Schizosaccharomyces pombe: one gene and its partners. The gene in region 3 interacts genetically with the main gene of each other region. Each region holds a gene or a part of one and is shown on either strand. Other genes may lie near its edges.

Region 1 (5,622 bases), on a different chromosome or scaffold from region 3:
ATTGCAGATTATATGACTTTCGAGGGAGGATACAAAGCCTTCAATAGAATGGGAATAGAATATAACACTTCTCCATTTGCGAAAATGTCTTTTGAGACCACTTGTCACTTTTTGACTGAGGCCGCCCTCCGTGGTGATGTTGATGACTTATCCAATCCTTCATCTCGGTTAGTCGTTGGTCGAGTCGGTAACTTTGGCACCGGTTCTTTTGACATATTCACCCCTGTAGTCGATTCTCCTGCAAACTAAAAAAGGTATATTTATTGCGGTTGGGGAATAATTTTAGAAAAATGTGTGTTTTGACAAAATAAAAGATTTTGGAAATTAAACCTTTATTGGCTACTTGTTACAAAAATATATAAAATAAATAAATTGGGTTTTGGAACTAATACTTGTCATATAAGTTTTAGATAGGTTACCACAAATAAAATTACGTTTAATCTACAACTCTTACATAACACAAGAGATAAACTTCTAAACGCTATAAGCGTATACTATGTTTACGAAATATTCATAAAGCTTTATATTGCTAATGTGACTATTAGATATGCAACTGGGAGAACAATTCGCCGGATATAAATTAAAAGCTTTCGTAAATTTAAAAAAATTGCGCACGCAAATGAACAAGTAACATCGGGGGTTTGAAAGTTTATTAAGCAACCAAGGTAAAAGATATGTGTAAAATTAGGAATTCCCATAGCAGTCTTTAACTAGAACGAAGAAATATCACATTAAATAAAGCATGGATAAAAAGTAGATAAGTGCTAAAACAAATTTAGAATAGTGTTGAAGTTTGACGAAGAAGTGGCATTTTCCTCTTGGTAGGAGAAGGCAAGTAAGTATCATCTTGCGCGGCTGAAGAATGAATAGTAGTTGCTGAAGAAATATATTTTCTACGCACCTCACGTTTAACAGGAGACACTTTTCGATTGCTATTAAAGTCGGAAAAGTGATTTTCAAAACTCAACATATCCATGGGATCCAAAAAATCATCTTCAAAGGTATCAAACGACTTGCTCATGGGTAGCTTGCTTGGTGTTTCTAAGCCGGCAACGGAACTAATGTTATTGGTAAAATAAGATAATGATCCTCCATCAAGTAAGCTATCACCTTTAGGACTTTCAGATAGCGTTACTTGTTTAGATGCATCTCCATTACGTAGAATTGAAGACTTCAAAGGCGTGACTGACCAAAACTCTGCATCAGATGATGTTAAAGATGATAATTGCTTTGCATCAGGTGTAGCCAGCATTTGCAAGATACGAGTTCGATGCTCCTTCAAATTTGTATTCGGACTTGCTGAGATACCACTCATATCAGAACGGATGGGTGAAAGTAAAGAAAACTTAGTGTAGTCATCAGCCACGATGTCATCACGAAAGCAAAACAATTTAGGACACAAGGCCTTCGGGGGGGTTGGAAAATCAATAGAATTTGATCGCTTTAGCAAAAGTCCACTGGGATTTTTTATGGTAGGCGAGCTAGGTAAAGAAGGTAAACGGACTGCAGGGATCTGTAGGGTATTAGTTGTACCATCTTTTAAACCTTTCTTGCCGAGATTCGTTACAGTGTCATTAAAACCCAACACGGAATCATGAACTGAAGGGGTTTCAACATCCTTCTCCAAATGTGATACAGGTGGACCTTCTACTGGTGCATCATCTTTATTCAAACCCAATGATTTAGCTGACTTTATTCCCAAAGATTCATTCCTAAGTGATTCAGATGGAGAAGCACTGGATGCTGGTGATGACAAAGGAGGAGATGGAGAATTTGTACATGATTGTAAAGGAGAAGTTACAGATACGACAGAGGAAACACCCAAATCGGAAAACTTAGCTTCCAAATCAGAAGGTGCATCGATACCAGGGGTATCTACATAGGGTTGTTGACTATGAAGAGGATGAAAATTTGTGGCATTAACATTAGAGATCGTCGGAATGTTCGTTAAGGATGCAGTATAATAATTCTGAAGATATTGATGTCGCTGATTAAATATATGGGGAGAAGTATTAAACGTGTTAAATCCAGAGGAACCGGTAGAAGATCCATATTTTGTAGAGGAGGTAACGTCTTGAACAGGAGGCGCTGGTCTTGAATTTACTCCTGGTTTACGCAGCTTTAGTTTTAGAAATTGTTCTTCATGACCAGGACGAATGCTCCAAAAATGACCCTTCCCCGGTAAATTTCTAGGACGTTCAATTTTCATGAATGCCTTATTTAGACTTAAATTATGGCGGATGGAATTTTGCCAACCGTTATTGGACTTATTATAGAAAGAAAAAGTATTGCTGATCCAATCATATATAGCACTTAAAGTGAGACGACGATCGGGAGAACGGATTATTGACATTCCAATTAACATAGCATAGGAATAAGGAGGTTTCTTTCCATCATCTAGGGGTAAGAAAAACTCCTCCGGTTCTTGAGACTGAGAAGAAGATACAGAAGGGTTTCGATATATAATAGTATCCAAAGATTGCTCCGAAGGAGGAGGTATGGGAAGAGGAGGAACAGAATAAGTCAATCTAGTATAAGAAGGTATATATGGTCGAGTGGCTTTTGAAGAAGGTTTTTGAAAAGATGCAATGTTATTTTCTTTTCCGCCTGCAACTACGCCCTTCAACTTTGAAGCAACCTTGGGATAAGGTGGTAAAGATTGCAAAGGAATTTCCTGATAAGCAATTGGGAGTTCAGAGTACTTAGAAGCATTGTTAAGGTTTTTTTCATGAGTAAAATAATAAGGGTTAGTAGAATTAAAATTCATGAGGAAGATGTTCAGACAAATTGAATAATAAAACAAAAATTAAAGCACCGTTAGATAATGGCAATGCCAATAATAATAATGATTAAAAGAGAAAACCAATTAAGGGAAAATAATAGTAATAGTGAATACTACTATACTCCGGACTTACACAAACATAGATTGTCAGTATGCGGACCAAAAAGAATGAAGTATTTTGCAAAATTCAAAGATTTGAAAAGAATTAATAATAATAGTACTCAAAGGACAAAAAAAAAATTGTCCGACCTTGGATTCTCGCACTAGTGTTACGACAAGGCACGATTCCGAAGCACAAAAAAAAGAAAGAAAGAAAGTGTGGTGCTCTAAATTCACAATCCTTTACAACCAAAAATAAAGTCTTAAGTCTAAGACAGAAATAATTATAGAAATAGGTATTACAGTATAGGAAGCAAAAGATACAAACTCAATACTGGATGCTGTCAGAAACGAGAGAAATGCACAACGAGATACTAATATTGCATAAAAATATTAAGATTTGTAATAGTGATACACAATCGTGTCAAATATCCTTTCGTATCAAATGCTCCGAATTGCTCCAATTTTGGACGTTTGCCAAAATATGAGTGTACGAGATGAGATAGAAATCTCCACCTCGTGAAAGCGGATCCTCTATTTTAGTGACAATATGTCATAGAGCCGAAAAATCGATTACGATGTTGGGTTGTGAGTATTTTACTAACAGTAATAAGGGTATACGTTATGATACGTTAAGCTGCCAATTATCCTCCTTCATTAAGTATGCCCTTAATTTGACACATTTCTGGTTCCATAGTATTAACCATACAGTAAAACGTTGTTTTATTTTTTGAGGTCCTATAATTAGAAATTTAAATGAAATGAGGCACTAGTTTCAGTTATGAAATATTTTTTTAGTGAATAGCTATAATATTATCTTCATACTAAAATATTTAATAACGTCGGATGTTCATGCAACTTAAATATTGCTATAAAGAGAGTATAAGTTGAAGTTGAGCTTAGTCTAATCATATCAGTTAGTGGTTGACAAATTTTAGGTGATTAATACATTTGGTTAAGAATCAATAGCATGCGTTATATTTTTTGTATTATTTCAACAATAACAATAACGATGATTGATAAATTGACTTGGCTTAGAAACTCATTTAGTTAATAAAATAATAATATTTCAATATTTGGAAGCTAATAATATTCTTTGTCACATAACTGAATCGAGAAGTTCACGGAGCTAATCAAGAATACTTCTTTTTATTAAGGATTTAGACAAAGTAATCATAGTAGCAATAATTCGAGCAAAAATAGCGTAGTTCTATAGATTTCAATTAAAATATTAGACAATTGAAGGGATGGCACACGATTCCTACACATTTACATTGAAAATTGCAAGTGCCAAGCTAATTTCCCAATTTTGCAGTCTGCACACATTCAAAGTTTGATTACAATATTTCTTTCAATGCCGTACTTCTAAAATTTTAGTTACTAGAAGAAAGTTCAAAAACCACTGTGTACAAAGTTTTAGTATGTGTCAAGGTTGCAACACGGAAAGCAAATTGAGTAGAAAGAAAAAGGTTCTGTATTTAACATAGAAGGATAGAAGAATTATGTGTCCGAATTTCTAAATTTGAAAATAACTACTATATGAACCAATGCATCAGGCGAACTGATATGTCTCGTTTAACATTAAGAGAAAGACAATATTCAAGAACACATTAGACGAGCAAATAAAAATTTTTTGCGTTTTCTTTTATAATAACTTACTAATTATGTGGTGAAGTTTAAATATAGTGAAAACCAGGCCATGTTAATTTATGAAACCAAATAGCATGTCAAAAAAAAAGAAGTTTTCAGCGTCTAATTATTGATTTGCTTCTATCGTCAAAATGCAAAACATTGTTTTCCATATCTTCATTGCACTAGACACGTCAGTACCTATTTTGGAAATGAATGCTACATGTATTGAATTAAATTTGAAGAACTTGTAATTAGCATTTAAACTTTTAAAAGTTTTCTCTTGTATTTTTATTTTTTTAATAGGTTATATCCACAAAAAACGCTGATTGGCGCTTACTACTAACTAACTACCACCATATTGTTTTCCTAAATTATGTCGAATTTGCGAATTGTTTGTCAACATTGCCCTTCAGTCGTATTTAATAACAAACGTCCAGATGTTGTTAAGAGGCCAACAATGTCAGCTATGCTGCATTCTGAAACACAAGAAGATCTAGAAACTGACGATTTTTTTCTTCTAAAAGATCCGTTTGCTTTCGACAACGTTAGCGTATCAAAACCCTTAGCAAATAATTATAAATTACTTGCTTGTGCTGATTGTGAAAAAGGTCCGTTGGGCTACTATGATTCTAAGAACAATGAATATTTATTGCTGTGCTCATTGGAGAAAAACTAAGCTTAATAATAAGTTTATCAAACAACTGTGCTATTTATCTTGGTTATAGCATATTTTTGTAAACGTTACTTATTTGATATGGAATGGTCTTTTCCATGTGTCTTTTTATTCTTTATATTTTTTTAGAAGACTTGCAACATGGCCTTACAAAAGACAGGTATGTTGTGGTTTCATATTGAATAGTAACCACGAAATTAGGTATATTTAAATGGAATTATAATGTTTGTTTCTTATTAAAAAGTTCTTTTGTAGCTTACACCTTTGTTGTGATTAGATTTTAATCTTATCGGGTATTAAATGAAATTAACCTTGACTAAACAAAATATACCTTACGATTAAACCAATGTTTTTTTAGCACTAATTTAAAATTTGAAGAAAGCACAGTGAATGTGTTGTACATATAATCAGCTTTTGTCTTCGTAATTACCGATAG
Region 2 (4,771 bases), on a different chromosome or scaffold from region 3:
GTAATTGCTTGGTCTGTTTCTCCCTTTGTATTGCTGATCATTCGCTGGATTCTTGTTCGAAGGAACAAAAAGCGCCTTGCTCTTCTTGAGCAGAATAAAGAACAGTATGAAAAGACTTGGATTGAGACGATTGATTCTTCTGGAAATCACGTTTCCGGTTTTTACGAAAATTCTATGCTTGATTTGACAGACCAGGAGAACCTATCGTTTATTTATCCCTTATAATTATCCATTTAAACGAAGGAATAAATCTTAAAAAATAACTTTTTGAAGTATTCATGAGAAATGTTTACAAAATAATTTCAAATTCCCAACAGTCATGAAAAATCCTTCTACTATTTGCTTTTTTTTTTGCAAAATTTTGTATTTTTAAACTACTTGCCCGTAAACTCTTAACTTATTTTAGACTACTACAAGACAGTTGCTTTATTTACTTGTTTTTTTGTTTCCTTTAGGATTCCTAACCTTTAATAGTAATCTTCGTCTTTAGCGAAGAATAGTTTGAAATTTTGTTTGTATATATTGCTGAAAGCTTTATTCAGTTACTATTTACATAGATTGAAAAGAAGAACTAGCATTCATTGCTAAATAAAATGGAGGTCGATTTTTATCCCCAATGGTTTCTCATAGTTTACTTTGCTGCAAAGTTGCGATTGAAAAAGAGATGTTCTAAAAAAGTATTTTTATATCAATTATAAAGCCTAATACGTAGGGGAAATCCAAACCAGTTAAATTTTTCAGCTCGGCTTTGCATTCCATCTGATAATTTTCGCTGTAGATTATCATATTTAAAAAACATTGAATCAATTGGTAACTTAGCATATATACGTTGATAGATGAAATCAGCTATTATTAGATTTTATAATCTTTAAACTGTGGTGTTTAATAAGTAAAAGACTGGAAATAGCCCATTAAATTAAACAATTAGCTGAACCCGAGTTCCATATTTGCAATAAGTTTTTTACCATTAATAAACTGCTATGTGGTGTTTCATTAACAGTAAAAAATTATTGTAAAATTCAATATCATGAATAATCATTAAAGATTGTGCTTAGCTGGTTTGAACAAACCGACGTTTTCGGCAACAAAATCGTCTGGGGCTGTTACTACTCCAGTTTCAGCTTCGTAGACCAACCAATACTCGATGAGTTCGTTTAGAATATCTGGATGGACTTTCGCTAGATTTTCAAGCTCACCTTTGTCCTGGGAAAGATCATACAGCTCCCATTCTGTTTTTATTCCTTCTTTAGGTACATATATTGCCTTATAATTTCCTTTTCTGATAGCTCTTTGCCCGAAAAGTTCCCAGCCGCTAAAGTCAGTATCTTTGTGTACGGGTTTTCCATGCACAAAATGGTCAATCCAAGGTTTCCCACGGGGGATTACAACATCTCGTCCTTGAAATTTGTGCCCTGGGTGAGGGACTTCTGCTAACTCAAGGATGGTTGGCAGGATATCCATAACCGTAACAAACTCATCGGAGATGATGTCTGGCTTGATCAATGGAGGATAGCGAATTATAGCAGGACATCGAATACCACCTTCTGTAATAAAACCCTTGCTAAGTCGAGAAGGAGCGGTCGCAGCCTGTGCCCATCTTGGTCCGTACCAAATAAATGAATTATAATTACCCAAGTTTTCCAGTGAATTGTCAAAATACTTAACCGGTGGTTTTGTGCTTAATACCGGGATTGCTTCCAAAACTGACCCTTCTGCACCGTTGTCTGACATAAATATAACAAATGTGTTGTCAAGTTCTCCAATAGTTTTCAAGTAGTCAATAACACGACCAATATTCAAATCTAATAATTCGACCATTGCAGCATAAACTTCCATCGTTCGCGCAGAAAATTCTTTCTCTTCTGTTGTTAGTTCGTCCCATGACTTGGTTCCCATTCCATCTACAGGTGCTGGAATTACATTTTCTGGTATAAGTCCCAAATCCTTTTGGGCTTGCAAGCGATTTTTTCGTAACACATCGGGGCCTTCACTATATCGTCCACGATATTTATTAATATATTCTTTTGGTGATTGCAACGGCCAATGAGGTGCTGTAAATGGGAGGTAAGCAAAAAATGACTGGGATTTTTCACGATTTTTTAACTGATCAATTAATTTTTCTGCAAAGTAATTGGACGAATAAAAATTTTTTAAGCTTTTGTGATCAACAGGATCATGATTGTGGGTATACAATGGTGGTAAAAAAGGTACAGCAGGGTTTTCTCTAGTACCAGGTTCATATGCAAAATGATTACCACCTCCAGGTAAAAGTGCAAAAGATTCTTTAAATCCTCGCTTTGAAGGGTAACGATCTGGGGTTAGTCCAAGGTGCCACTTTCCAGACATTGTGGTATAGTAACCCGCTTCCTGTAGAATCTCTGGTAATGCAGCAACTCTATCATTTAGGTAGCCTTCGTACCCAGGCTTTCCACCCCATACTTTCGAAAACCTGCGTACTGTCTCTGCCATTTGCCCTAAACCTGCTATGTGATTGTCTGTACCGCTTAATAACATAGATCGAGTAGGCGAGCAAGCAGAGGCTGTATGAAAGTTTGTCAACCGTACACCTTCCTTTGCAAGCCTCTCAATATTTGGAGTGTGTATTTCACTTCCAAACGGAGAAACATCTGACCATCCAAGATCGTCAGCTACGATGACCAAAAAGTTTGGTTTTTTAGATTCAGCTTGTTTATTAAAAGCCATAGTTACTATTCAAATTTTTTTTGATTGCGAATAAATTTTTATGCAGCTCAAACTGTAATTTTTATTTTATGTTCATAAAGGGCATGTGAGACAAGAGACAGCCCACAAGTTGATTAAAATATGAAAAAATATATTTGCAACAATTGTCTTCCGTAATAGATTGCAAAATTACAAATACCTAATGAAGAAGTATGGCGTGCTATCACGTAAGCTTTGAGTAACATCATCCATATTAAAAAAGATACTCATACATTCCAATTTACTGGATCAAACTGTAATTTACTTATCTGAATATTTTAGAGATAAGATTCAGTAAATCAAGTTTAAAACTAATTACTGTCACTCACTCAATATGTGCAAAACTGAGTTTACTGACCAGGAATTGACTTTTTTTTTTTATTTATCAAGGAAATATTAATTGAGTTATCAATCCCAAAGGAAAATATGTGAAAATATTTAAACACTCGCCAAATTATATTAATTGATCTTTATATCAATAAATGCTTTACTCTAGAAAAAATCGGTTTCGGTAATATACTACAAAGGAACCTAAATAGATTTTGAAGCTTTATACATATAAGAAAACATTAATTTTCTAAAAGATACCAAATGATAATTAACAAGGACGTCGATTTTCGTTATTTTGAACTTTCAACGAGAAATGTCAGTGGAAGATTCAACATATTTTCTATGAGATAAATTAGATATAATAACATTTTGCTTTTGACAATAACTGAGAAAAATCATATTTATACCTAGATTTGTTGAGTGATACGAATTTCATACAATTTAATGGGGGTAAACTGCGATTAAAATTACGTTTTGGTCCTTTGTATTGTCTTATTGATATGAAATATCAGACACGAATATTTTCATACTAAGTGGTAATAATTAATTTACAACTGACCTCGGATTCTCTTTTCGTTTGAAATTAAAATAATACTTAATTATTACAATTGGAATTTAATAATCTCGATTAGTGGACGTAATATATATGAAGATATGAAGAGTATAAAAGTATCGAGATGTATCATAATAAAGCTTAATGCTATATATCTGAAGATTTTTTTCTTGGTAAATTGTTTCCGTAACTAAGGGCCGTCCAATAATTAGACTTCCTAAGTTCAAAAATAGTGGACCAATTGTTAAAAAATACAGATAAAGAACATCTTAAGACATTCACAATATACAAAAACAACTTGTTTCAATTGTAGGAACTTGTAAAGTTAAAGGATTAAGTTGTTGTACAGAAAGGATCTTTGCGTAATGTTGGATCCGAGAAAAGATGTAACATTCTCAAACAATCCATACATCATTTCCCTTCAACGCACTTTTGGTACTATCAATTGCAATTATAAGTGAATTCAAATTATATCAAAAGAGTTACGTAAATTCATATTTATCAGATTTGGTCTGATATTATGTTAAAGTGTAAACTTATTGAGCAGCACCCACTATTTTCTTTTTACTCATTATTATATCGGATGTATTCAAACTTGGTTTACATTTAAATAGTAATAGCAAATCGTTTTAATTACAAATTAGAATTTACACGTGTTAAGTTGTCATTGTTACTCGGTAAATGCATCCTAGATTATGACTATAATAATTTTGTTTAAACATTCCTTTTCTTAGCATGTTTTCATTTGTGTTCGATGGGTAAAAAGCTAATAATATTATTATAAAATAAGCTGTATTATAATAATAGGTTGTCTGAGCCGAAGCAAGTAATTGTGCTAACTACATTCCCATATACGCTTATTATTGCAAGGAATTTTAAATGACTTGGAAATGATTAAAAAGCAAAATTAATTGGCTGTTCACTTTTATATATAATGTAGCGGCATGTAAAGTGCTACTAGTATAGGCATATAAATATTTATTTGAGCGGACATCTTTTTTTAACTATAGTACTTGGAAAAATCGTATACGGTGGATCATTAGCTGATTAAACCAGAAATATTACAACTTAGTTCAACAACGCATTATTGAAAGTGAAAGCGAGTCCTCAGATGAGCAACATGAAGTATATCAAAATGGTATTATCTACGATACTGATTAAAAGGAT
Region 3 (6,051 bases):
TCTTGAGTAATTCTATCAGTTAACTGGGCATTTGTGGAGCGTAGCTTGGCCAACTCCTCAGATAGTTGCTTTTCGCGCTTGAGTAATTGAGACTCTAGAGAAGTGTTTTCATGAGTCGCATGTTCTCCACTAAATTCAATTTGTTTTAAAACAGATAGTTCTCGTTTAATCTCGTCGTAATCCGAAAATTTATTGGCCAATGTTAAGCTTTCTTCTTTAACTTTGCGGGCCTCTTTAACTTCATTTTCCAGCGTTTGAATGGTGGCACAATGTGTTTCCATTTCTTTTCTTGATGCTTCCTTTATTGATTCCAATTCAGTAGACAATTTTTTATTAAGAGAATCCATAAAATCCAATTGTTGTTTCTGCTGGTTACTCAGGTCATCCTGTGACGACCCGCTCTTTTGCTCTTTGGTGTTTTGCTTGAGCACAGCAATTTCTGCTTGCAATTCGACAATGATTTTGTTAGCATCATCCAATTCAGAAAGAATAGCATTCACTTCGGCAGATTTGGCATTAACGTCCAACCCTGCTGATTCATTCTGACTGGCCTGTAAATCATGATCTAGTTGTGATGCTTGTAATTCCCGAATTTTTGAAGTTAATTTTTGAATCGTACTAGCATTTTCCTGTTCCATGTCTTTATATAGCTTTTGTTGCTCAAGCCAAGACTTTTCGCATTCTTCTTTTGTGATTGCGGCACGCTTTTCCGCTTCAGTCTCTACAAGGTCCTTGTATTTGTCAAGCTCTTTTCGTAAATTTTCCACTTCACGTTCCAGCTTTTCCTTACCCTGTAGCGAGCCTTCCATTTCTTCCTTTTCCTTTTTTAAATCTTCAATCTGTTTTTGAGTTTTAAGGTTGTTCGCAGCCTCAATCAGCAAAGGGTAGGGATCAGGAACCTCGCCTAGTGTTTCATACACTCGAAAGAATGTTGCTTCAGCGGACTTTGCTCGTTTGGTCAAAGAATCGATTCCAGACTGATAAAGCTTTAAAAGGCCCTTCATTTCGCCTAGCTTGACTTCATCAGGCTGCTTGCGAAATTCTGTATATTAACAATATTAGCAAGGGTTAATGTATACTAGGTATGCTGCAATAATAGACACCATACCCTTCGTTTTTGACGAAAGCTCTTTCCTTTCATCCAAAGATGTCTTTTGCATCTTCTCAATTTCTGCTGCAGCTTCATCTGCTTCCCGTTGTAATTCCTCAAACCGCGAATCTATTATCTCACGTTAGTAACTTTGCTATTTGCTTAAAAATTCAAAACACCACGAACTTTTCCATGACTCCGTTAGCTTTTGGAGTAAAGCTTCTGAAGCAACTGCCATTATGTTGCAAGTTATTAAAACGAAACACTAAAATGACTAATGTTTAGTATTTGTTTTGTGCTTAGCATTTCAATGAAATAGCGCGATGTCAGCGTGCTGAAATAGTGAATTGGGAGTTACACAACGTTCCATTAAACACTTCGCTATAAGAATTTGTTTTTATGGAAATGAGTAATATGTATTAGGCGCTTAATTCGATTGGAAAAGTGATTGTATATTGTATTGATTTTGCTTTTGTAGCCTTGTATTTTGGGAATAATGCAAAGCCTATTGACAAAAGGCCAATCTTTTTAGATCAGCTATCAAATTATTCAGTCAATTAATTTTCGAAGAGACTTGAAATTAAGTCAGTCAACAAACATACAATCACTTCTGTGTGCAATTATTATAGTTCCTGCTATTTCACTCTGTGAGGCTATCTCAAATTGCTATAACTCCCAGGATGCTTGCAAGTTAACTTAGAATTACTATGGATTAAGATTGGAAGAGAATCTCCTATAAGGATTCCACGTATTTGAATAGTTAGTTTTGTAATAGAATCTAATTTTTATTTAAATTAGCAGAAATTCTAAATTTACTTTCTTTCTATATCATAACATTTCGTTTACTATGGGTTACACGCTACCCAGATCTACTCATATTGAAAGTAACCATATTAACGCAACAGATACACTTACAAAGGGCTTTTTCATGAATATAATTGTTTAATGAATCTTTTCATTAATTCAAAATTTACAAATGTCTGATATTGAGCTGCATGAGTCAGCAATTCCTAAAGAATTGGATTCCCCTGTAACTACCATTGCGCTCTATAGTAAGGCAAGCATCCGGGGCTATATTGCTAACTATTTGATTTTTTTAGATAACCATCTATACTTTGGAACGGAAGGTGGTGATGTATTCCTCTATAATTTTTCAAATTTCCAGGTTTGTGTTTATTCGTGTGTTGCACAGGGTTGTTTGCATTAACACGCGTATTAGTTAAATGAATCACCAGAGCTTGTAAAGAAGATTTCGTTGGTGTCGAAATCTCGTGTAAACCGAATTCTTGCAATGCCTTTTCTTGGCGCAGTTTTTATTCATCATGGTAAGCTATGTGTGGTTTACGATAACTTTGGAATACCAATTAACGGTGGTAGGTAGTTTCGCAGAAGTATACAAGGAAGATGATTTGACTCAGCTTTACCCTTCCATCTCCTTTAAAGGCTTGGTGGAATTCTGTCATCCAGGCCAACGTATTGACGAGAAAAGCACATATTTAATTGTGACCAATACTCATTTAAAGCTCATCTCATTTCAAAAAGATGGAATCATACTAGTCAAAAATGTATGTTAGATGCTAAATTGTTTACTTCATAAAAGCGCTAATTAACAATAAACAAGGAACTTAAATACCCCAATATTCAAACTGCTCGTGTGAATGGTCATATCGTTTGTCTAGTTACCGAAAATTCCTTTGAATTATTGGATATTCTCACCTTTGATACTACTCCCCTCTTTCCCATTATCAAATACGATTCGGAAAATAATGGGCTAATGTACAAACCCATGATTGTTTTGCATTCTAATGAATTTCTCTTGATTACCGGTAGTCCCAAAGATGCCATAGGGCTTTTTGTAGATTCCCAAGGGAATGTCACAAGAAGCACTCTAACTTTTTCATTTTATCCAAAACATGTTTTTTCTACATCTCATTATGTGTTCGCCATTTCTTCTAGTTCGTTACAGATCATCGACATAAATACTCTCAGTCTTGTTAAAAGTATTAATCTGAAGGATGATGAAAGTTTCTCTTTTATTTCTCGATTGACAAGCGTTCATTTTTGTGATCGCCAAATATTTAGTAAATTCTCTGCTGTGAATACTGCGTCTACCTCAAAAACTTCTGATACGATAGAAAGGGCTTCTTTTAGCAAGCCTTCATTTATTTTTCTTACGAATAAATCTTGGGGGTTTGGCGCTGAAGCTCATTTTATGAACAAACTAGAATTCAGTATTACCATAGGCGATATTGAAGCCCCTCTGCGTCGAGTGAGTAAGCGATTGCGGAATCCGAAGAAGTATGGAATAACCAATGATGTCGCTTATCTTCAATCTGCTTATTTGGAGCAAATCTCGGCATTACAGTATTGGAAGCAAGGACAGTATGAAAATTCTCTCTCTTTGCTTGAAACTTCCAAAATTGATCCTCGCGTAGTTATCTCCCTCTATCCAGATCTCTATCATTCGGAGCTTTCCTATATTGCTTTTCAAGGTGTCATTAGTTTTCGCAAAAGCATATTGTCCGTCGATGATACTGTTGCTAATGTTTTAAAATCTAATGAATTGTTTCGTGATACTGATCAATACACTCAGAGACAAATGATTGAAATTACTAAGGAAAACGCATACATCATGTTGATGCGTTATCTGAAAAATTACAAAAAGAACACGAGCATATCTGAGTATCTTTTATCTTCGCAAAGAGACGTGATGCTTGCTGTAGAGCATTCGTTATTACTCCTTTATTTAAATATGGATGATTTAGCCGCCGGTACCAAAAATGCTAAGGAGTTGTTAGAGTCTGGTCTAACTGGTGTTGAAGATATAAAAGATGTGTTGATACAGAAGAAAGAGTATTATTTACTCTCCGTGTTATTGGCTACTGTAAGGGATCACGATGGTGTTCTTCAAACTTGGAAGAAATTAATAACAGGGGATTATGAAGATCGGAGATTCAACGATGGGTTAATTAAAATACGAGAATATTTGGTTAATGATATTGAGCCTTCGACATTCTGGGAATTTACTACATGGCTTTGTAAACACGATGCAACGGAGGGTACGCGCGTTTTGCTTGACAAAACAGTTAGTGGATCCATTTCTGCAGAGGACGTGTTAGAGCATTTGGATTCTTCTCAAGATGATGTTTTGATTGATTACCTTGTAAAGTCGAATTCCGTCACTCATCGAGCGCTACTTTTAAAGTTGTGCGTTAATAAGTTGCTTGGCAGTTTATTGGATCATAACGATTTTAAAAATCGCCTTGAGACTGCCATTGAAACATTTAGGGAGCTTCCTTGCATGGAGAAACCTACGTATGCCCAATACTTGGAACAACTTTGGGGGGACATGAGTGATTTCAGTACTCATCTTTCATTTTACTATTTGTGTTCTATTAATCTGATGGAAAATGTTGAAGAAGAATCTATAGATAAAATAAAAGATATTTTGTTCGACATTCATGTTGACAATTTATATCTATTTCCTCAACTTGAACACTCGTTTTACAAAAGGAAGAAGAATTATGAAAAAGCTTTATCCGTTTTGGTTACGAATATTCATGACTATAAGGGCGGTGAAGCATACTGTCTTCAAATTGATGATGTTTATCCTCAGTGTTGGTGCAATTTGCTCGAAAAATGTATATCAACAGGAGATGGATGTAGTGATTTTATTAAAGAACTATTGTATCGTCGACCCTTTTCTTATACGCTTTCCTACGTGTGCGAGCAAATTCCAGATCATTGGAATCTTAACTTATTAGCAGATTTTTTGTGTATATTGCAAAAAAGAAATGCTGAGCGTTTGAATGAATCCCAAACTCGTTTAACACTTGAGAAGTCGTTGTCTCAAAATTTGGAAGAGTTGTTCATGGCTATTAATCGTCGTAATGTAGCCTTGGGCAAAAACGAAATTTAACCCAGTAACATTTAAAAAGTAACCTTTGGTTCAGCAAAGTTTTTACCTCAATTTTCGATACTTATTCGACTGATGTTTAATTTAATGATAGAATAATTTCAATGAGACAAAAAGATTCTAGCTTCAAAATGTTGTTAGAATATAAAGGGCTTTCTTCTACAGTTAATTCAGCTCTTCCTGATCTTTACTAGTCTTAAAAATATAAATAATATTAACTATGAGCCTAAATTCATCGAATTTTATTTTTAAAAACCCCCTTCGGGAATAAAGAAAGTGTCCGTAACACAACGATGCACTGTTCACTAAGGTCGGAAACCCCGAGGATGAGCTCGGAAGTTCCGCGGGTAGGTAGATTCCCAGGGTGCAGCAAATATTCTTACACTTAGCTTCTACCACTACCCTTCCCAGTGTTATTAAAAGGACGTACGGAAAGCGTCTGAAGCATAATTGATTGCTGGAACAAGTAGAATTAATATGGTAGAGAACGTTAATATTAATAACAAAAGGGCCGGAAAAATGTCTGCCGCCCCAACTCCCCATAACACCCCATCGGGGACGAGCGCTCCCAACTTTGGTGCGAAGGCTCCTCAAGTAAATACTATTGACGAAGGAGATGAGAATTTAGAGGCTATCGACGGAAAATTGGGTTCTTTATTACATCTCACTTCAGAAGGAGTTTCAGAATTGCCTGAAGCCGTGCAAAGAAGGATTTCTGGACTTCGTGGTTTGCAAAAGCGATACAGCGACTTGGAGTCTCAATTCCAAAAAGAGCTGTTTGAGTTGGAAAAAGCTTATGCAAAGAAGTACGCACCTATTTTTAAGAGAAGATCTGAGGTTGTTCGTGGCGCTGACGAACCTACCGAGGAGGAAATTAAGAAGGGTGAAGCTGCCGATGAGAACGAAAAGAAAGAACCTACTTCTTCTGAGTCTAAGAAACAAGAAGGTGGTGATGATACTAAGGGTATTCCTGAGTTCTGGTTGACCGCTATGAAGAATGTTTTGTCTTTGTCTGAAATGATTACTCCCGAAGATGAAGGAGCTT

The links. A genetic interaction does not mean that the proteins touch.
Region 1: mutations in vps3 (region 3) and sep1 together harm fitness more than expected from each alone (negative genetic interaction), as found in Schizosaccharomyces pombe (one large-scale study listed by BioGRID).
Region 2: mutations in vps3 (region 3) and SPOM_SPBPB10D8.02C together harm fitness more than expected from each alone (negative genetic interaction), as found in Schizosaccharomyces pombe (one large-scale study listed by BioGRID).

What each region holds. Positions count from the first base shown.
Region 1 is NC_003423.3:3,132,720-3,138,341, forward strand, and holds sep1 (DNA-binding forkhead transcription factor Sep1), read right to left. Parts: upstream 3,386-5,622; 5' UTR 2,768-3,385; coding exon 776-2,767; 3' UTR 501-775; downstream 1-500. Other genes in the region: DNA-directed RNA polymerase I complex large subunit Nuc1, read left to right, coding at 1-249; dss4 (guanyl-nucleotide exchange factor), read left to right, coding at 4,887-5,189. UniProt on the Schizosaccharomyces pombe protein: Required for promoter sequence element PCB-driven, M-phase-specific transcription. Acts as a transcriptional activator with a role in the regulation of mitosis. Regulates septation and the periodic transcription of cdc15.
Region 2 is NC_003423.3:82,729-87,499, forward strand, and holds SPOM_SPBPB10D8.02C (arylsulfatase), read right to left. Parts: upstream 2,791-4,771; 5' UTR 2,704-2,790; coding exon 1,039-2,703; 3' UTR 501-1,038; downstream 1-500. Other genes in the region: SPOM_SPBPB10D8.01 (cysteine transporter), read left to right, coding at 1-225.
Region 3 is NC_003421.2:475,004-481,054, reverse strand, and holds vps3 (GTPase regulator Vps3), read left to right. Parts: upstream 1-1,993; 5' UTR 1,994-2,066; coding exon 2,067-2,142; exon of another isoform or gene 2,143-2,190; coding exon 2,191-2,255; exon of another isoform or gene 2,256-2,309; coding exon 2,310-2,415; exon of another isoform or gene 2,416-2,467; coding exon 2,468-2,655; intron 2,656-2,711; coding exon 2,712-5,009; 3' UTR 5,010-5,272; downstream 5,273-6,051. Other genes in the region: coy1 (CASP domain-containing family protein), read right to left, coding at 1-1,042, 1,109-1,219, 1,277-1,328; histone H2A-H2B chaperone Nap1, read left to right, coding at 5,484-6,051. UniProt on the Schizosaccharomyces pombe protein: Required for sorting and processing of soluble vacuolar proteins.